5 linked regions of the Mus musculus genome follow. The protein of the gene in region 5 interacts with the protein of the main gene of each other region in a pairwise test. Links are inferred from orthologs where the notes say so. Each region holds a gene or a part of one and is shown on either strand. Other genes may lie near its edges.

What was found.
Region 1: the proteins of Exosc8 (region 5) and Txndc17 interact in binary tests that used the Homo sapiens proteins (3 or more experiments, as listed by UniProt). The two-hybrid records come from large-scale screens. The link is inferred for Mus musculus from reciprocal best matches to the Homo sapiens genes EXOSC8 and TXNDC17.
Region 2: the proteins of Exosc8 (region 5) and Otud4 interact in binary tests that used the Homo sapiens proteins (3 or more experiments, as listed by UniProt). The two-hybrid records come from large-scale screens. The link is inferred for Mus musculus from reciprocal best matches to the Homo sapiens genes EXOSC8 and OTUD4.
Region 3: the proteins of Exosc8 (region 5) and Slain1 interact in binary tests that used the Homo sapiens proteins (3 or more experiments, as listed by UniProt). The link is inferred for Mus musculus from reciprocal best matches to the Homo sapiens genes EXOSC8 and SLAIN1.
Region 4: the proteins of Exosc8 (region 5) and Tfap4 interact in binary tests that used the Homo sapiens proteins (3 or more experiments, as listed by UniProt). The two-hybrid records come from large-scale screens. The link is inferred for Mus musculus from reciprocal best matches to the Homo sapiens genes EXOSC8 and TFAP4.

Annotation. Positions count from the first base shown.
Region 1 is NC_000077.6:72,206,095-72,210,357, forward strand, and holds the start of Txndc17 (thioredoxin domain-containing protein 17), read left to right. Parts: upstream 1-1,459; 5' UTR 1,460-1,529; coding exon 1,530-1,674; intron 1,675-2,158; coding exon 2,159-2,240; intron 2,241-2,635; coding exon 2,636-2,711; intron 2,712-3,320; coding exon 3,321-3,389; 3' UTR 3,390-4,263. UniProt on the Homo sapiens protein: Disulfide reductase. May participate in various redox reactions through the reversible oxidation of its active center dithiol to a disulfide and catalyze dithiol-disulfide exchange reactions. Modulates TNF-alpha signaling and NF-kappa-B activation.
Region 2 is NC_000074.6:79,638,361-79,642,670, reverse strand, and holds the start of Otud4 (OTU domain-containing protein 4), read right to left. Parts: upstream 2,809-4,310; 5' UTR 2,766-2,808; coding exon 2,607-2,765; intron 2,568-2,606; exon of another isoform or gene 2,158-2,567; intron 1-2,157. Other genes in the region: uncharacterized protein Gm51579, read left to right, coding at 2,809-3,318.
Region 3 is NC_000080.6:103,702,222-103,705,411, reverse strand, and holds the end of Slain1 (SLAIN motif-containing protein 1), read right to left. Parts: intron 2,896-3,190; coding exon 2,574-2,895; intron 1,577-2,573; coding exon 1,501-1,576; 3' UTR 505-1,500; downstream 1-504. UniProt on the Homo sapiens protein: Microtubule plus-end tracking protein that might be involved in the regulation of cytoplasmic microtubule dynamics, microtubule organization and microtubule elongation.
Region 4 is NC_000082.6:4,556,913-4,561,131, reverse strand, and holds the start of Tfap4 (transcription factor AP-4), read left to right. Parts: upstream 1-1,411; 5' UTR 1,412-1,615; coding exon 1,616-1,704; intron 1,705-1,744; exon of another isoform or gene 1,745-2,467; intron 2,468-2,474; exon of another isoform or gene 2,475-2,545; intron 2,546-3,174; exon of another isoform or gene 3,175-4,140; intron 4,141-4,148; exon of another isoform or gene 4,149-4,219.
Region 5 is NC_000069.6:54,732,556-54,736,621, reverse strand, and holds the start of Exosc8 (exosome complex component RRP43), read left to right. Parts: upstream 1-1,257; 5' UTR 1,258-1,597; coding exon 1,598-1,614; intron 1,615-2,289; coding exon 2,290-2,326; intron 2,327-2,455; coding exon 2,456-2,519; intron 2,520-2,890; coding exon 2,891-2,964; intron 2,965-3,876; coding exon 3,877-3,922; intron 3,923-4,066. Other genes in the region: Alg5 (dolichyl-phosphate beta-glucosyltransferase), read right to left, coding at 973-1,038. UniProt on the Homo sapiens protein: Non-catalytic component of the RNA exosome complex which has 3'->5' exoribonuclease activity and participates in a multitude of cellular RNA processing and degradation events.

The sequences.
Region 1 (4,263 bases), on a different chromosome or scaffold from region 5:
ACTACCTCAGGTCCACCCACAGGAGGTGGTGTCTTCCCAGCTTGTCCCTGCCTACAAAGGATAGAGACTCTCTCACAACCGGCCCCTATTCCCCTAGCTGTGGGCAGTCCTGAGGCCTGGGGGAATGTCCTAGTATTGCCTCTCACCCAGGGTCCGGTGACACCACCTCGGCTGGTCTCTACCCAGGAAGCTCGCCCAGGAATACCCTTCTCGATCGGCCCCTCTCCCACGGGAACGGGATGGAGCTCCACTCTGCTTCCTTCCCAGCATCCCGACGCTACCCTCATAGCCTGCACCTTCAACCACAGTTCCAGGATGCTCTCATGGCCAAGTGTTCCTGGACGACCTTTTCTCTCACAGCTTGGAGAGCTCCTATTGTCTAGCTCCTCCTCCCCAGATACAGTCACCCACACAGACCCAGCAGGCCCAACCACCTCGGGCTCGCCCACAGTCCCGTTCACCCACACTGTCCTGGGGTCCATTGCTGCCTCAACCGAGCCTGCAGTCCCAGGTATCCCAAAGGCCCTGTTCACCCTAGCGGGGACTGCGGGCTCCGCAGTCCTCTTCTCTAAAGGCTGCTGACCATTCTGTAGCCACCCTATGTTTGCACAGAGCATCCGCCGCACTGAAGATCTCACCCGGCGCCTTACTCCATAGCCTCGGGATAACCCTGCACCCCACCTCCTCGCCCACAGAGGCCGAACACCCCGACGCAACCTGCGGGCCCTCATGCAATGAGCCGGCATCTTCGCTGCCAGTGTACACCTGCGTAGCCCGGGCAAGGGCCCCCGTGCCGGCGTCGCAGCTCCTGGACAATTCCTTTCCCCAATGCAACCTCAGACACGCTCTCTTTGCATCTGTTCCCCCGCACACGCACTCACAACACTCGGATCCAGTCCTCGCTGCCTTTCTGCCTCCCAGCTCTCTCCAAACCCCCGCCCGATCCCGGACGCCGCCCCCGGCCCCGGCCCCCCTAAAGTCTGACAAATAGAAAGGTAATAGGAGGGGCGGAGCTGCAAGGCAAGCCTGGGGCGAGGTCTCTCACTGTCTCTCTGTCTAATGCAGTTTCCCAGAATTCCCCCAGCTCCGGCCCAAGCCCACCTGGTTTGGGCGCGGCGCGGCCACCAAGAGATCGTAAGGCGACCCCACGCTAGGCCTCGCTTCCGGCCTCTCGCCCAGTCGTCATGGCAACAGGCGCGCGGCTGTTTGGGAGCCGTTGATCTTCCTGAGCCATTTGAGGATCAAGGTGTTGTACCGCGACGGGCTTTGCCGTCACTGTCCATGAAGCCAGGGTGGGGACCAGACCAGGTCAGGCGTCTAGTTGTCTGAGGGAAACTGGCGCCAAAAAGAAACTCCAGCAGACCAAAAGGACGGCCCTAAGGAGTTATGGCTATTCAAGGCTCCCGTAGCACCACTCTGCTGCGGCGGCCCCGCCCACCCGGAACCTTGTCCACGCCTTACTTGGGCCCCGCCTTGGGGGCGCAGGACCCTAGGGCTCCTCCCGTGCTCCTCTCCGCACTGTTGTACCCATGGCCACCTTCGAGGAGGTGAGCGTGCTGGGCTTCGAGGAGTTCGACAAGGCAGTGAAGGAGCATGAGGGCAAGACCATTTTCGCCTACTTCAGCGGTTCTAAGGATACCGAAGGGAAGAGCTGGTGTCCGGACTGCGTGGAAGGTGAGGCTGGGACCAGGACTGGGGGTTGCTGCGCCACAGCAGTGCTAGGAAGAAGGCCCCTGCTGAAGTCAGAAAGTGGGATGAGATGAGGATCTTGGTCCTGCAGACCCGCAGAAGCGCCTGAGCTGTACCCCGTCTCTCGTTAGGCCCTTACTGCCCCACCCAAGGATGACCCTCATTTTTATCATGGATTCGGATCTTGGAACCAGGTTCTTTAAAATTCTCAGTTCCCCAAACGATTAGTGTCTCATAAAAAAAAAAAAGACCAGACTCAGGAGTTGATCTTTCCGTCATCATATATGTATGCTGAGTTTTCTGATTGTGTCTTAAAGACAATCAGGACTAGGACTTAAGTGATTCACGAGTCCAGAGGACACGCGACTTTAACATCCTATCTTACAACCGGTTAAAGTCTAAGACTGGGGACGGGAGGGCGTGGGCTATCGCAGTTGATGTGTAATTACTTTTTAACTCTTTTAAAAAGCTGAGCCAGTCATTCGAGAGGGGCTGAAGCATGTTACCGAAGACTGTGTGTTCATCTACTGCCAAGTAGGAGACAAACCTTAGTAAGTCATGTATACCGTATCTCCAGACATGGACTATATTATTAAAAAGCTGGGTAAAAAGGACCTCAGATAATTGGTCAGGCTCTGTGTTTTAGGTATTGTCTGATAAGCTAAACAATTAGAATTACTGAATTCATATTTACAGTTTATGTTCAACCACATATCATCATTAATGAATTGGGTCTGGAATAAGTTCAGAACTCTATTGACTTTACATTTGTTTTATCTTAGCCACACTTTAAACTTTGCAGAAAGTGACACATAAGTTACAGTTCTCAAAATGTTTAAAGGTTAACAAAAGCAGTGGTTACAAGTATATTATATATAAGTCAACTGTTGAGTAAACTGTAATGAACCAAGTAGTATTTTTCATTATCTGTTTCATTTTGGAACAGCTGGAAAGACCCAAATAATGACTTCAGACAAAAACTGAAAATAACCGCAGTGCCTACACTACTTAAATATGGAACAGTAAGTGTCTACCTTTATGTTTGTAGCTATAATGTAGTTAAAACTCAAGTTGTTTTTTGAGTCAAGTTTGAAAAGATCTTGACCTTTGATTTCCAACATCACATTGTTGTTCAGAGTGCATCAGAAACACACAAGTTGGTGTCCATTCCTCTGCCAATCCTGACAAACTATTAATAATGCAGATATTAGTGTCTGGGGTGTATTTTTAAGCCACTTTTAAGATTCTGTCTTCAGAAGAAAGTTGACTCATTTCTGAAAGCACCTTTGTCAATGTTTTCTAAACCCACTTTTCAGGCTTAAAAGGGCTCTCCCTCTATTTCAGCCCTGCCCCTAGAATCCTAAATTAAAGAGTTGAGGGAAAGAGATGGCACCAGGCATGCTGTCTCTTGTTTTCAGCCTATGGGGCTTCCTAGTGTGGAAATACAAGGCCTCTCAGGCCAAGTGTTTTAATGATTCATCTTGACACAAGCATCCTAACTATTTAATAAAGCTTGTTATAACTAGCTGATGGCATAATTTGTGTTCAAAAACTTGTCATTCAAAGTAGAATTCACTCCACCCCTAGTAATATTCATAGCAACAGTGAAAACTTAACCATTCTTTTTACAGCCTCAAAAACTTGTGGAGTCTGAGTGCTGTCAATCCAGCCTTGTGGAGATGATCTTCTCTGAAGATTAAGATTTGATGACCTTGCCGGACTGTGGTGGCACATGCCTTTAGTCCCAGCACTCGGGAGACAGAGGCAGCTGGATCTCTTTGAGTTTGAGGCTACCTGGTCTACAAGTTGAGTTCAAGGACAGCCAGAGCTACAGAGTAAAACCCTGTCTGGAAAAACCAAACCAACCCAAAAAAGCCTGATGATTGCAATTTTGTATTGATTGCCTGGTTTGTTTAAAAGCAGCCACATTATTGCTTTGAATTGATGAGTAAATGATGTTATTAAATCAGTGTATATCTAAACAATAAAGAATTGAAATACAAACCATTAAGTTTTTTAACACGTGGCTATCTAAAAGATTTGAGTAAAATGAGTCTTCAGTATGGTGGTAGTAGCTCAAAGGAAATATTGAAGATAGAAAGTAACTTACTAACTTCCAAATCTGCAGCAATTAGTATCTATTACCTTAAGTTCTGTGTATTTGCAAAACCCTTTCTGCCTTTGAAATGGAGAACTTCATTAAACCATTTAGGAAAGACATGGGATTCATATGCTTAACTCAGGCAGTTTTCTTTCACAAATGTCTAAAATGTGATTCTTTTGTTGTGAAACAGGCTGGTTCTCCTAGCCACAGGCCAAGTACTATCTAAATCTTCATTTCTTCAAGTAACAATTGTGTCAGGCATAGTGACACACACCTGTAATATTATTTTAGATGCTAAGGCTAGAGGATAACAAATTTAAGGCAAGGGTAGACTACAGAACCAGACCTTGTCACAAATTTAAAGCCCAACTATTATTCTGCAAGTAAAGCAAGAATGTGGGCTGAAGAGGTGGTTCAGTGCCTAAGAGCACTGGCTGTTCTTCCAGAGGACATGGTTTCAGTTCCCAGCA
Region 2 (4,310 bases), on a different chromosome or scaffold from region 5:
CATCTCCAGTTCTTGGTTGTTATCCAGGAGAGGTGTAAAACGCAGCTGGAGTCTCTTTTCTTACTGTTTTGGGACATTACTAGAAAGTAGCCTTGCACAGTCTAAGCTTCCCGCATCACAAGAACCGTCCACGCATTTTCAAAAACACCAACTGTTTGCCATTTCAACAAATTACATTTGGCAATATAGCTTTCCCAGTAGCTGCATTAGACACTGTTATGGATCAAGCATTATTAATCTGAGTGAGCCACAGTGTCACCTGATAGGGCTTGCCTGTCAGCAAGGCGCCTCCGGTTTGTGTTCAAGCCATTCACCTAACAACAGGTGGCAGGCAGAAATTAGTAAAGCTCACTTCTCATCAGTAACTACATCACAAGTATCTGTTTTTTCTCCTTTTAACAAAGATTTTAGAACATGTCATCAACCTGAACCTGCAATCCAGATGCAAAACTCTCATCAATGTACATGAAGTGTAGAATATTGATAATTTAGTAAGTCAAACAATGCAAAAAAAGCAAGACTGAAATGACAACTCTTCAAATAGTAAATTACTTCTCAATCCCTGGACACTCAAAATTCAAGTGGTCTGCTATGTTGCTCCATGAAAATAGGCTAAAGGTAGAAGCTTTAAAACAAGGTAGTGATAAACACAGGGAAAGGCTGAGACACTGTTTTAGCAAGTCCTCTAAGAGTGCCCTATTTTTAGCTACAAGGCTAGGAGCTGATTCAGGTCAGGCTTCCTGCAGGCCCAAATCCACAAGTGAAAAGAAAAAAGAAAAAAAAAAAGGAAAAAGCATCTCTAAATCAGGTAATCTGAAGGGGAAAAGGCTAATCTCAAGCGCGCTCGAATCCTCTTCTCTTAGGACTATTTAGCTTCCTGACTCTTAAAAATATTTATTGAACTATTTACCAGAAAAGAAATTCCACTAAAACAAATCCTTCCTACAGACTTTTAAAGGCAGCGGAGGCTAACACATTCTTCCTCACCATTACTTCCTCACTCAGTCTGGATCTACTGGAATACTTATGTTGCTTCCCCTAGATGTAGGCTCAATATATTCAAAATAAAGCGTCCCCAAATTTGTAAAGGTTAGGTCCTTTAAGACTAACCCAGATCCCAAGGCTGAAACGGAGTTTACCCCCATCAATGAGTTTAGTGCAACTAGCTCTTGCCCACTGTGCAGACACTGAGTCCCCCAAGCTGCTCTTCTATCCCCAAGGATCTGTGGCATGTCTCATGGGCAGAAACACACCTTTCTGTCTCACTTTAAATAGGCCTGGATAACTCAACTCCAAACACTAACCTCTACCTCCATCCTCCACAAACTTGCTAATGCACTATAATATAAACCGACACCATGGGATGACTTCACTTCCCCTCTTCAGCTTCTAGAGGTGCTAGAGGCCAAGAAGGCTGAGACAAGGAGACAATCTTCTTCATCTGGAAAACTCACAAATGGAGCAGACTGTTTACCTATGTAACAGTAAAGACTGGGCTGGAAACAGCACCCACACTGGAGCTTCCTACATTTCTGAAAATAAGAGATATCAAATGGTAGGATGGTTTGGGAAGCATCAAAGAATGTTTCAATGGACATACCTGTCATAAGTGCAAAGTGTTCCATATTTACATACTCTGAAAAATACATAGCCTGGTGATTCTAAAACAGAAATCTTAAAAGCTAGTTAGCTCACAAAAGGGGGCGGGCGGGAGGGGACAAAACCATAAAAACTCCAGATTAAGCCAAAGGAAAGCAAACTGTAAATGGTATGAAATACAAACTGGAGCAGTAATGTGAAACTTTTTTAATCCAACTACTTTAGCAGCTAGTCTTCAAATATAGGATGGGTTTTGGTGACCCCACACCTACATCTGATTACATAACATGGGGAAAAGGGCTCGCTCTCAAAAAAGAAAAGCCTTGAGTATTCTTCCCTGGAACTCGTCCCACTCCTGAGTTCTAACTCACTTCTCTTTGGTAAAATGTTCGATCTGTACTGGGAATAATTTTTGACCAATAAGGAAAACAAAACAAAAAACGGAAACAAAAAAAAAAACCCGACATGTGCCTATACTGAAAATCCATCCTATTACTTAAAGGCCTTTAGAAGAGTAAATTCTTGCCTGATTCCAACATAGTATAGTATGGGACCTACTCAAGATTAAGTCACTGGGAAGACCCTATACAGGAAGACTGCTTTCCTTAAACAGCAAAGTTGGCCGCCTGTTTCGAGTGACACCGGTGAGACCGACTACCCCGCATTCCAAAGTCCAGCAACAGGAAAAAAAAAATGTGAAGCAGTCACACTGAGTGCCGCACCTCCTCCAGTAAACATGAGGTTAACTAGTGGGAACACTCGGCTGCTAAAAACTGAGCGCAGGTGAACGCGGAACACAACTCAAAAACAGCATGTCGCTGGGTCCCTGGCGGTCAGGCTGCGAGCAGGCCGCCCGAGATGTCCTCACTCGGTCCCGTGCCGGCGTTACAATGGGCCGCTGTGACGACAGCGAGCCACGCGCAGCCCCGCCGTGGGCGGCCAGGCAGCTGCGGGCGGCATGTCGCACCCAGCCCCGCGCCCGCCCGGCTCCGGCCCGGGTCCTTTACCTGCTCGGCCACAGCCCGGAACAAGCACGACCCGTCCTTGGCGACCAATTTCCGATACAAGCCCAGTTTGCGCAGATAGGCGTCCATGGGCGTCTCATCCTCCAGCGGCCCCACGCCGCCCTGGTCCACGCCGTCGGGCGCGCCGACGGCTGCCTCCATGTTGCCGGTCCGCTGCAGCGTGCGCGGGGCGAACTAGCCCCACATGGCCGCGCCGCCGGCTGCTCGACGCCCGGGCCTGGGGCAGGCTGCGGCTCGGGCTCCGGCTCCGACGCGGACACGGCGAGCGGCGGCAGGAAGAGGCGGTGGCGGCAGCGGCCCGAGGCGGTGGCCGGCGCTCTCCCGGAGCATAGGTGAGCCCAGCCTAGTGCATGGCCATCCGCACGCGGCCGCCTCCGCGGAGGGACACGCGCCCGCGGGCAGCCCGGGGGTCGCCGCCCCCACAAGTTTCCGGGTCTCGACCGGTGTGAGGCGAGAAAAGCCCCGGCGGCGCGCCCGGCTGAGATTAAGCGAGGCCTGCGTCTCCCGCACGCACCCCACGCCGAGAACCGAGGAAACGCGGAGAGAAAGCCACGGCCGCTCGTCTCCCCACCTCGCCGGAGGGCGCCTGAGGGGCGGGGAGCGGGAAGGGGCGCCGGGCGGAGGGCAGCAACCTCGCAGCCTAGAATTTGTTTTCGCTTTCAGCCCTCGGCGCAGCGGACGACGGGAGTTGTAGTTTAAGCCGCGGCAGGAAGTCCTCGTGCAGAGGGCGGGGACGCCTGGGTCGGCCTACCCGGAGGGGAGGTGCCCCACGGGCTCGCGGACTACAAATCCCTACAATGCTAGCGGTGCCGAACCTAGAACTGCCTTCGCGCTTCCCAGGCCGCGTCCGCGAGCAGGCCCGAGGGTGTCTGTCGCTTACGCCGCTGACCTGCGCGCGCTGCCCCGCCCTCCCGGCGAGCCTCCCGCCCTGAGCGCCGTGGGGCGGCGGAAAGCGCGCGAGCGCAGCTTGCGTGCAGTTGCTAGGGGCTCAGTGGCGGTGCCGCCGGCCCTTTGTGTAGTTCCAGAGGACGCACCTGTCCGCACCCCACTCAGGGCCTCCCCTCCTAGCGTTTTCTTAGGGGTGGCTAAACGCTTAGAGCAGAAAACCGGGCACCTCACCCGAGGCCCTTGGAGCCGCCAGCCTAAGCCATTTTGACCCTCAATGAAGCGTTGACAGTTGATTGAAATTGGGACAGCTCACACTCTGACAAGATCTGGCTTTGCCAAGGGCATGCCTGCTCATTCTGTCACAGCAGCTGCGCTCTGCCACACAAAGAGCTGTCCCTGTTAGAAGAAATTACTTCTTTTTTTTTTTTTTTTTTTTTTTTTTAATTCGGTGATAACGCTACGGGGAATCCGACCTGAGCAGTCCAATTGGGTTTGCGAATCCGGAACTTAACCTCTTGGGACGTCAGAATTTTATTTTACTAGCATACAATAGCATCTCGTATCATTTAAATTTATTAGAACTTCGGTCTTGACGTTGTGTTGGAAAAAGAAAAGTGGTAAATTACCTTAGGTTTAAAGGTGTAGGCATTCTTGGGAATGGTGCCAAGACATGCCAGGTGGTAGGATTGCAACACGTTACTTAAAATGTAAGCTATTAATATTTAAATATTCCTATAAATGTGCTATTTTTAGAAAATATATCGCAAGCTAAATAATTTTTTTTTTAAAAATCCTTGA
Region 3 (3,190 bases), on a different chromosome or scaffold from region 5:
CCAGGTACCTATCAATTTTCAGTAAATGTTACTTCTACAAGCTGTTTCAGCTCTGTATAGAACGATGTACAGAAAAGTTAAAAGCTGATGAGTAACCACAGACACCCTTCACAGCTTTGGTGAAGCCATGCTGTCTTCACAGGAGGCCGTTCACAGATCAGTGGCAGTATTTTCCTATTTTACCTACACTGAGAAGTTTTCTAACTCAACATCCCAAGGCTGCTCGGGTCCCCAGTGACACTGTGCTCATTCAAAACCCAGTCCTCAACAGACTCTGCTTAGTGGCCTTTCTGGGACCAAATCTTGTCACACAGCTAAGCCTCGGATTTCTTATCAAACTAATTGTGGAGACGAGAAAATGTAATCTTTACAACTGGGCTCTCCGAGTGTGTCGGCCACGCCCCCGTCCACGAACACCACCTCGGCGCCTGCTTCCCCAGCTGTAATGAAACACGGGCGTGGGAGCCCCACTTCTGATGCTGCACATTCATGCGTGAGCTGATATTGCTGAAATAGAGTCTTTATTTCCGAACATTCCAAAACAGCAGTGTACACAGTAACAAACAGTAAGTCATAGACCCTAAGAAAGCATTCATTAGTGCAAATGGGTTTTTGTAAAAGGTCTATCAAAAAGATTTATTTAAAATGCATTCGTTTCCAGAAGCATTGTTAATAAAACATTACAGTTTCATCCTTTGTAATAAAGTATTGAAAATCAATTGTGTGGTTGAGTAGCAAACATTGCGGGTCTTAAGTGCAATGAGCTTGTGATACCATCATAAATATGAAACTCATGTAAGACAATAAATTAACAATGAAAAAGACAAGACCGTTTAACTCTGCCGTCTGGCTGTCTCCTTGCAACGCTTTAGATTAAATTGTGCTCGTTCAACGTAAAATTATGTCTCAAATCGTATGGTGTGTTTTTGCTGATATATCCCTAGAGCTAAAAAAATAGTACCTTACCACAAAAATATTTTTATGGCACAAAATTTAAGTTGTTCCATAGTGGTTCACATAGGCATAAAAAGAAATAGGCACAAAAAATAAAATTCCTGTAAACTATAAAAAATTAAAATTCAAACCATGTTATAGAACCTAGTTGTAAATATGCAATGTATTAAAATGCAGAACATGTAATGGAAGGTGTTTAAAACATGTAGGTAAAATGAACAAGGTACTTTTAAAAACCTCATATGGCAAAGCATTATTGATACGCCTCAATCTCTCTCAAAAAGTATTCAGATACGGAGCAGTTCTACAAAAACTTCCTAGATCTAAGGTAACGATACCGCGGCCGCGGGTTTGGGAACGCCGCAGTATCTCAGGCAGAGAGTAGGTGAGCTCGTTAGTCTCTGGTGATTGGTCCACTGAAAACGATGCCGTGCGTGTGGTTAGCGTGAAGGGGAAAGCATCCCAGCATCCATGGTTACCCAGCCAGCTAGGTAACACACCCTCATTTTCACTTCTTCCCATTCTTCAAGGGTCCGTAAAACTGCATCAGTAGCAACCGTCTCTCCAATTTCCATCCCTCAGTGTGCTGAGTGAAGACAGAGGCTTGGGAGGCTGCAGGAAGCTATGAAGAGAGGAAAAGGCAGACGCGCTGTTAGTAATCCCGCCAGGCACATGACTTGCTCTGGTCCCCTCTCCCATCGGGGTTCCTTCATCCCATAAGGACAAGCTGTTGGCACTGTCACAAATGTGTATCAGGTTATGTCCTTCAGGCTTCTCCTAGTGTCTGCCTGTCTGCTGGAGCTGAGGCCTGAGCAGAGTCACATGTGTGCACGTGCACAAGGTTAAAAAAAAAAAGATAGAAAGGAAAAGGTACGATCCTTGATGGAAAAACAGCTACAAGCATAAAGCAGCTTTGTTGAGCACATGCATACATTCTTAGCATTTGAAATATTTTTTCTATGATAGCAACAAAGAACTGAAAAGTAATTTTGAAATATTTCAGGATTTTGAAAAATAACTTTGAAAATCCAATGTTTTCTCAAGTTTGAAGTAAACAAATCCTCTTCATATTCTATGACGATAGAAATCTTCCTCCTTCAAGATATGCATTCAAGAAAAAAATGGAGGGTCCCCAATAATGGATATGGAGCCATGAGCATGTCACATCTCTTTATTTACCAAGGAAAATAAGCCAGGCTACTGTCACTACCTTTGTCTAAAACGTACCCTATAAAGAACTTGGCATTTTTAGGCTGAAAAAAAAAAAGCTTGCCTGAGCCATCTGGAACTTAACAATACAAACGGGTTCCAGATGAATCAAACTAAGACTTTTCAAACCTCGAGCAGAAGTGTCACTGTGAGCAGACCTGAAGGAGGGAGGAAACTTGCCACACACGGAACCTGGGGCAGGGTACAGTGGGCCAAGGGATAAGAATCAAGTGAGAGGAAGCAGAATGTGACTACACAGAGACATCCATCACCTGCTGAGAAAGAGGGACCCAGGATGCGCCTGTAGGACAATGACCCGTGGTTGACCTGAGCCAGGGAAAGGTGAGGGTGAGCTGGAGAAACTTTGCAACTTCCAAGCACAGATTCAGTCCCGTGAACGGAGTTCTCACCTTCTGACAGGCTGTGCAATCTTGCTCCGAGGCAGGTTACTCCCATTTATTGCCAGTGAAGGTCTCGGAAGGGCGCTGCGACCCAGGATCCCAGAAGCCGCAGCTTTGTTCGGAGTAGGGATGCCCGTGGTGGAATATAACTGCGTGCCATTGGATAAAGGCATGCCGCTGCCGCTGCCGCCGCTGCTACCACTGCTGCCGCTGCTGCTGCTGCCTTGAACAGTTGGGCTCACATAGGCTGTGGCCTTCAGGGGCTGCCGGATGGGCACTGGGAAGTGGCCCACGCTGTGAACTCTGTGCTGAATCTGTCCTGGTGACGGGACTGTGGGAGAAAATAATGTCAGTGTGAGGAACTCGCCACTGCCTCCTAATTAGAGCTGTTATCCGCAGAGGAGCCTACATTCCCTGAATGTAAGAGGTAAGTGACGTACAGGTGCTAAGACCCTTCAGTAGGCGAGAATCCCGATAAGACTCTTCCCATTCTGTCCGCCTGAATACAGCTGATCTATGAACAGCATAACGGTCAAAAATCAAACTGTAATTCATGGTTTCCCCAAACTTCAGTCAGTACCCTCCTTGACCCAAAACCTTAACAATGAACATGTCTTATTACACTT
Region 4 (4,219 bases), on a different chromosome or scaffold from region 5:
CCTGGGATTAGATGCTAATTGATCTGGCATCTACAGTTAGAGATCAGGTTGGTAATATTGAACAATGTTTTCTAATAATACCCAACAATTGTTATAAATAGAAGTATTTCAACTAAGAGGCTCGATTTGGGTGGAACCTTGGAAGGCAGCGAATGGGTCTGGGAAAGGCGCTGAGCTGGAGCGAGGACATTCCGAGGCAGGCGTGGGCTTCCTGAGCCTGGGGCCAAGCCCTCCAGGAGTCTGGGGAGGGCCGGGACCGGAAGGTGGGGGCGTGTCAGAGGACGGAAGCTCACCCCTAAAACGTCCCCTCCCTTGCCCCAGACCACCACTCCCCCCCCATTGTAGAGCGCGCCCTCTGGCGGTGGAGCAAGTTTTATCCCGCCTTCCCCATGAATGAGAAGCTGCAGCCCGCTGCGCGCGAAGTCGGAAAGTAAGGTAGTGAAAGAGGCAAGACAGGACCTGGCAGCCACCACCAGACCTCTAATGGATATTCGGACCGCGCTGGCAGCCTGCCTCAGGGCCGCTGCTGTTCTGGCTTGCCTCCGCCCTTCCCTTCCTTCCCACTTGCTCTCTCTTCCTATGGCAGCCCCAAACATCCGAGGTACCTTGCGCACCTGCCTGTACCCTTCGCAATCTAATTTCCTAGCACCAGTCAGAGTTTGGGCCAGGCAGCCACCTGGGTAAAGACGGAGGGAGGAGGCTGGCGGGTGGTCAGAGTCAGCCCCAAGTTACTTGTGGGAAACAGTGGCTATGACGCAAGTTTCCAGGGGGCCCGGGTCGGCTCGAAAGGGAGCGCGCCAGAGTGGCTCTGCTCCGCTCCGTGCAGTGGCAATTATGAAAATGCAAAAGCCTGAAGCACACACCCAAAAGAGCCTTCCCTTTGCTGCTGCAGCCCCGCCCAGCGCGTCCTCCAGGATAGCGGTGCGCAAAGACCCCGCACTGGGCAGTCCTCACCGGACCCTGGACTGCACAGACTGGGATCCCGTGCGGTGGGGCTGGCCTTTTTTTTTTTTTTTTTTTTTTTTTTTTTCTTTTTAGCTACGCTTGCCAACCTGTCAGCTGATGGACCTCATCACCCATAGTGGCGCATGTAGCTGGGCCGCTGTTCACTCCATTCACATCGTGTCCCCCCACAGCCAGCTGTCGACCCCTGATTCCTGATCCCAGGGTTAAGTCTGCAGACCCATGTAGTAGTCGGTCCCAAGGAGCTTGCGCCCTTCTCGCCCCAGCATCCAGTCGCCCTGGGGGGGGCGCTGCAAATAGTCCTTTGTTTACATGCAATTCCTTACTCCGCGGAAGGAGGCCGGGGAGTGCTGAGTTTTCACCAGCTGTTTCCCGCCTTGAAACAGACATCTGATCAGCTGCAAACACACACACACACACACACACACACACACACACACATACACACGCCCGGGGAGGCAGGCTGGAGAGACCTCCCGCCCGCCCCTCCCGCCCGCCTCCCTCCCCTCGCCGCTGCTGCTGCTGCCGCCAGCATCTGGGACCGGCCGATTCTGCACCTCCGTCCGGCGCTGCCCTTTGATTCGGATTTCCATCTTGCATTCTCCGGCTGACCGCGAGACCTGGCTCGTGCACAGGAGGGGGGCCTATCGCTATGGAGTATTTCATGGTGCCCACTCAGAAGGTGCCCTCTTTGCAACATTTCAGGAAAACAGAGAAAGAAGTGATAGGAGGGCTCTGTAGGTGTGTACTGCTCCTCCCCCCAACCCCTTCTTCCCATTGCAGCCCCCGGCCAGCCCGCCCGGGCGGGTGCGCGTGTGCGCACGCATGGCTCGCGCCTCCGAGCTCGCTCGCCTTTCTTAGCTACTGGGTCCGCTGCAGTCTCTGGAACCCTGCTTGCGTTGCCTAGGGACCCTCTTCCCTTGGAACGTGGGGACCCCGAGAGGTTCTGTCCACTTTTGTCCGCTGCAGGCGGGCGAGTCGCGACGTTTGTAAATTGCAAACAGACCCACGTGGTGCTGCAGCAGTCCCGGCCATGCTTGCTGCTGGTGGCTTTCACCCAGCGCTTCCTCCTCCCCCCGCCAGCTTTGGCTTCCTTCCTTTTCCTTGCTTACTCGCGCTTTCTGGGAACCCTCTTCTAAGGAGGTCGTTTTGGGGGGGGCCCGGAGTGTGCGAGAGGACAGCTACAATGCTGCCATGCCGCGGTTCCAGGCTGCGGGGAGGGGGGGCGGGGAGCCGGGTGGTGTGAACGTTTGCAGAGAACAGGGCTGCAGCAGGGTTGGGGGCGTGCTCGCTCGAGGTTGCGAGGCGTACGTGGACCTTTAGTGGCCATGCTTCAAGCAGGGAAGTTGCGGTCCCCCACACGTTGGCAGTCACTAGTCGCACGTTCTCCGCCCGCGCTCGGGTGCTGTTTACTAGCGAGGCCTGGACGTGACTCTGCAGCCCTCTTGGAGTAGGCGGGCCTCTGCGCGCACGACCTCACGGGAGCTGTAGTTCTCTATGCCGGGTCGGTGCTGCATTGTGGGACTTGTAGGCGCTTCGGGGCCACGCTTTACTTGCACAAAGCTCGGCCGTAACCAACTAGGTGGGCTAAGCAGGCCAGGTGGGGAGGCCTTTTGATGAGGGTGCGTCTTAGGTTGCTTCAGGGCTCTAGTCTACTTCCTGTTGCATATGGGTCTGCAAACTTTGCTGTCCCACTTCTGTTCCTCAGTCATAAATGCAAAGCGTTGAATCTCCTGGTCGGGTGGGTGGTCGGAGGTCTCTCTTGAGATACCCCTTAGTGAGCTTGATCCTACCTAGGTTGCCCCAGATCCACTCGCTACTAAATCGCGATTGACCAGTGGCCGAATCTCTCTTAAACTCTTGTTAAATCGTCATGTCTGAGATTTCTATTGCCGGCCCTGGTATCTGCTCATTGAACCCTACAAGCCGGCTGGGTCCGGGCGGGGATGGTGGTGGTGCACGCAAGGAGAGGTTTCTCCAGCGCGCTTAAGTTTGAAACCGACGATCTCTTTCCTGCCTGCCGTGCTACTCTAGGAGCGTAATGGCTCCCCAGGGCTGGGGCCACGTGCTCCGACACCCCAGCCAGGCAGGGCTGGGGCTGGAGGAGGAGGAGCCCGCTGAGTGGCATAGGCTGGTTGGTAGACAGCAACGCCTGTGGGGCAGGTTGCTGCATAGGTATAAAATCCAGGTAGGGATCCCACTTTACTTTCAAGTTGAGAGCCAATACCTAGGGCCTGTTGGTGGGTCTAGCAGCTGGCAGCCCCCTCTAATCCCCCCCCCCCCAGCTGGCACTAAGATACGGTTCACCTGAGGGCCCAGCAGGTACAAAACAGCAGTAACTAAACTCTTGGACACTAAATATTCTGGGGACCTACTTGCTAGAATTTTCTCTTCGAATCACTACAATCTTGCTGTGAGTCCATTTGTTTTCTGATTTCTTTGTAAAGCTGGAGAAGCTTTATAAAGCTAAGAAGGCACCAGTTAGAGCAGATATTCAGCTGGACTCGATTCCTAAGTTTGCTGTTGTGCTGGCTCCTCTGAGCTGGCTTGGGGAGTGGGGAGTGAAGCCTGATTAGCTCCATATTCTGGAGAGGTCATTCTGGTGCTGGTCCTGCATTGGCTTTGACAGTAGGAACCTCTGGTTGCTATGCCTAAGCCTTTCGGTACTCTTGTCTTCACTCGGTCCCTTTCTCCAGACCTGTGTTGCTGGAGGGCAGTAGACCTGCCCCGCCCCCAGGAACATAGGGTGTTTTCAGGTCTAGTAATTGAGGCACCACAACCTGCCTACAGGCACACAGGTCCTTAGCCTGTCTTGCTTACAAGGAGACAGTTGTACACTGGGCATGGAGGAACATAGCCTCTAGGCCTGTTCATTTTCAGCTGGAGCAACAGCTGGGAGATCTGTCCTGGATGGAGTGTGGGCTGGGCAGGAGCTTATGGTGGATGGACTCTGGTTTGTTTCAGACTGTGGACTTTGCTCCACCCCTCCCTGTTTAGCTGGGTTCTCTCTTGTTTGACTCCTATGCCTTCTGGGCCAACCAGAAGGAGCCATAGGGCAGTGTGGCACACTTTGATGTTTTGCTTGACGTTTTGGACCTTCTGCCTAATGGTTCTGTGAGACTTGGATATAGGCAGTGCCTAGAAAGTGAGATCCAGACTCTAAAGAGCAGGCGCATGGTAATGTCCAGTGGCTGTGTGTGTGTGTGTGTGTGTGTGTGTGTGTGCAAGTGTGCGCATGTGCATAGGTGACTTCCTC
Region 5 (4,066 bases):
TAGCCAGAGTTATACAGAGAAACCCTGTCTCAAAAAAAAAAAAAAAAAAAAAAAAAAAAAGTGGGCGGAGAGAAAGAATGCCAACAGGCAGATGGAAAGTAGGCTTCAAGATGCAACGCACTGCACACCAAGTGCAACATGCTTGCAGTAAAATAAAGGGTACCTCTACTCGTTCAAGCCAGTGGGATCTAGTACAGTCCACACAGCCTCATCGTGCACACACAGTCAGCTAAGTCTGTATAAAGGATTCAAAGTAAAGTGGCCACAACCCGGAACGTGGCCAACAAAGTTCAGATTTGTTCCAAGCCTTTAAAGAAGGCATTTTAGTGAGAGAGGGCGCCTGGCTTCACCGGACACACAGCGACAGTCATCTGGCTACACCACTCCAAGACTGTGCATGTGCACATGTACATTGGCTAGGTGGCAGAGGCCTTTCTGGCCACCTGTCTCAATACAGGCAAGCTTTTCAGAATCTGCTTTCTGAATGAGTTACAGGCTCCTTTTCAAACTATGTGGCAGAGTTTAGTTGGCAAATATGTCCTCTTCTACATAATCAGAAGGGGTCTGCCACGTTTCTACAGGAATGGCAAAGAAAACGCTAAGGTGCCTGATTCTCAAGCAAAAAAACCCAAAACAAAACAAAAAGACCCCTGGCCAAAATGAATAGAACGCCGTCTGGGCCTATCTTTTGCTGACCCATCGTCCCTAGCCTTATGGATCGGCCGCTCTTTCCAGCTGCAGTGCATATGGGAGCCCCAGGAAGAAGACTGGGGAGTGGCGTGGAGGGGTGACAGGCGGGGGTTCAGAAGCAGGAGCCCCGAAAAGCTGGGCGGAGGCTCTGGGCACTCAAATAGGGTTCCAAAGGGGAACAAAGGTTCAAAGGATTTCAGGGAATCTGAGGCCAAGGGAGCCAAGCACGCGAGGGAAGCGCGGAAGGGACACCCGGAGCACCGGACTCCACCACGGTCTCACCAGAATGAGCGCGGCAGCCGCCAGCGCCACGCCGAGCCCCAGCAGCTGCAGTAGCAGCGTAGCCATCCCGCAGCTCCACACTTGCGGAAGCGCGGTGCGGCGCCGCGCCCCGCCCCAGCCGGCCCCGCAGGAGAGGCCGGCCTAGCCCTCGCCCGCCGCCCGCAGCGCCCCCGCCTGGCCGTGCCCCGCCACGGCAGGAAAGCCGAGGCCTCCCCGCAGCGCCCCCGCGCGGCTCCGCCGAGGACTGCAGGCCGGTCACCGAGTGCGGCAAGTCAAAGCCCTGGACCTGTGCACTGGCTTCACCCCTCGCGCCGTGCAGAGCAGCCATCTAAGGATGCCCGGCGCCGTGGAGGGTTTTAGGGTCACCCCCTTTTCATCTCGTGCGCCTGCGTGTGTGTGGGAGTGTGTTCGTGCACAAGCGCGCGGGCCCGTGGGACCCCGCGAGATTGGCGACTAGCGGGACGCTCGGGGTGGCCGGAGCTGGCGTTAATGCCTCGGGCGCAGGAACACGGTAGCTGCACTTCCCTAACCCAGGATCCCTCCGAGTGCCCTGGGCTGGAGGCACGCCTGGCGACCGGAGGGCGCAGGCGCGGAGGGCTGCGCAGGCGCAGAGCGGGCCGGAAAAATGGCGGCTGGGTTCAAGTGAGTGGCGGCGCGCGCAAAGAGGGCCCGGGTGCGGGTGTGGCGCGCGGCGGCGGGTGGGGGCCCCCCCGAGGACTCGCGGGGCCGCGGGAGGGCTCTGCCCACTCGAGGCGCTGAGGGACACTGCATCCAGGACGGCCCGGACCTCTTAGCCGAGGGCCACGCCGCTCTCCACGCAGGGCCGCCCTCGGAAGGGACTGGGAAAGCGTTGGGCGCGCTCTGGTTAAACCCGGAGCCGCCCACGCGTGCAGCCTGCAAACTCGCGTCTGCGGTGCGTGCACCGTACCTACCTGCAGTCACTTGTGGCCGCGGGTCGGCGAGGAGGCCAAACGTATGTACAATACACTCTTCCGTGGTAAAGTTGTGGATGCTGGCGAGTGTGGTTTATAACGGCGCGAAGTCACGCTAAGGTCCCTGCTTCAGAGCACGAGTGATGTGACTGACACCCAGGTTGACCCTCTTCTGGGTGTGCCAAGGGCCTCTGTTCCTCCTGACTATGGCACAGTTAAGGTCACCGCTGGAAACCGGTTGCTGCTGTGTGGCTTTTATAAATACGGGCCACACAGTTTCAAACGCCTGAGCCTGTCGAGATCACGCCTCAGACACCACACTCTCAAGTTCTGGGTTTCTGCTTTAGGACGCACTGACTGAGACACGTTTTAAACATTGTTTCAGAACTGTGGAGCCGCTGGAGTATTACAGGAGATTTCTGGTGAGTGAAGGTGGTTTTGTACGTTAGAGCTGTGGGTAAAAACACCAAGCTTCGGTTCATTTAAATGAATGAGGCTTAATGCTGCGTACCCGAAATACATCTATGACCCGTTTCCTTATAAACATTTAGAAGGAAAACTGCCGTCCTGATGGAAGAGAACTTGGTGAATTCAGAGCCACAACTGTCAACATAGGTGAAGATAAACTTCCTTTTAGTTGGGTGGGACATCCTTGGTGTCACGTAGTTTTTCAGCCAGCTCTACTATGTCTAACGCAATCGGGTGATGTTAAGAGATTTTTATCATCACACCAACCTTGTAGTTGATCTAAACTTTAGTTCAAATTGGGAGACCGAAGAAAAAGATGAAAAAACGTTAAGTAGTAATATCATTTTCAAGTCACTGACCTGAACCGGTCAAAAGTTTCAGGGGGTGGGTGGGTGGGGGTGGGGGGAGTTTCAGAGGCAAACAAAAAGATTTAAACTACTTTGTAGGAAACTTTGTGGTTATTTTCTTTTTTTTTTTCTTTTTAAAATTTTTTATGAATACCAAGTTTACCTTTCCAGGTTCAATCAGTACAGCGGATGGCTCTGCTCTCGTGAAGCTGGGGAATACCACGGTCATTTGTGGCGTTAAAGCAGTAGGTTTCCTGTATGCCTGTAATGTCTGAATTCCAAGTTAACTGCATGCTTATGAGGTTGTACTTGATCAGGGGCTGGTATTTGGAATGATATTCCCCAAGGTTGGTTTTTGTTTTTTTGTTTTTTACATGTGAGCATCATTAACGCTTTACAAGGTGAGTCCTCAGCACGTCACACGTTAGGGTTTCAGCAATATCGGTTTTGAAATCGACTGTTACAGTGACACCTTTAGCCATCGATAGCTTTTGTTCGTCGTAGGAATAGTAACTGTCTGCTGAGCTTTTTAGATGCTCTACTGTTACCAATCTCTGTAAGTAGAAGGTAGGCAGAGTCTACTGACAGAACCTGTGCTTTCTCACGTTTCACTGAGCAGCTTTCCTCGTTTAGGTCTGTGGTCAAGCTGAAGTAATAACTGTCAGACCACATACTGCTTGCCAGGATTATACCTGGGACTTAGTGGCACTGTCTCACTTGGGCCCTCAGGAGTAGGCAGGTACTGTTTATCTGTCCCTGTGTCAGCAGAGGAACTTGAGAGATAAGTAACTTTCCCCAGCTCTTGCAGTCTCTTGTGTGGATCTATAGCTGCACTGGGCTCTTATTGCTATATACCTCGCTTCTAGCCACTACTGGCTCCCCAGCCTGGTCATGTCAGTGTCGCTTGGGGATTAAATTCAGATTTGGCTGCTGAACAAGTCATAGGGTGGGCATAATCCCACTGGTCCTCATGGATGAGCAGCACAGTTTGATTACACTGCCCTTTAACCTCCCTGGGAGTCACTAGGAAGGCAGTGCCAGCATCCTTAACATGGGTTAATTGGCTGAAATGGTCTCTGGCACGGCCTCTGTGGATGACTAGAATGTCATCGTGTTGCGTGGCTTTTCTCACTGGAATACATTGTTTGCTTTTGTAGGAATTTGCAGCACCACCAGTAGATGCCCCCGATAGAGGATATGTCGGTGAGTTAAATGCTCATAATTTTAATGAATTATAAGTAAGTTGAGAGATACCTCTGGCAGTGAGGTAATTGAGGTGGATAGCAATTCCCAATGTTCAAAAATAGAATAACGACTCCCCAGCTCCAACCCCACAAAGCTTTCTGC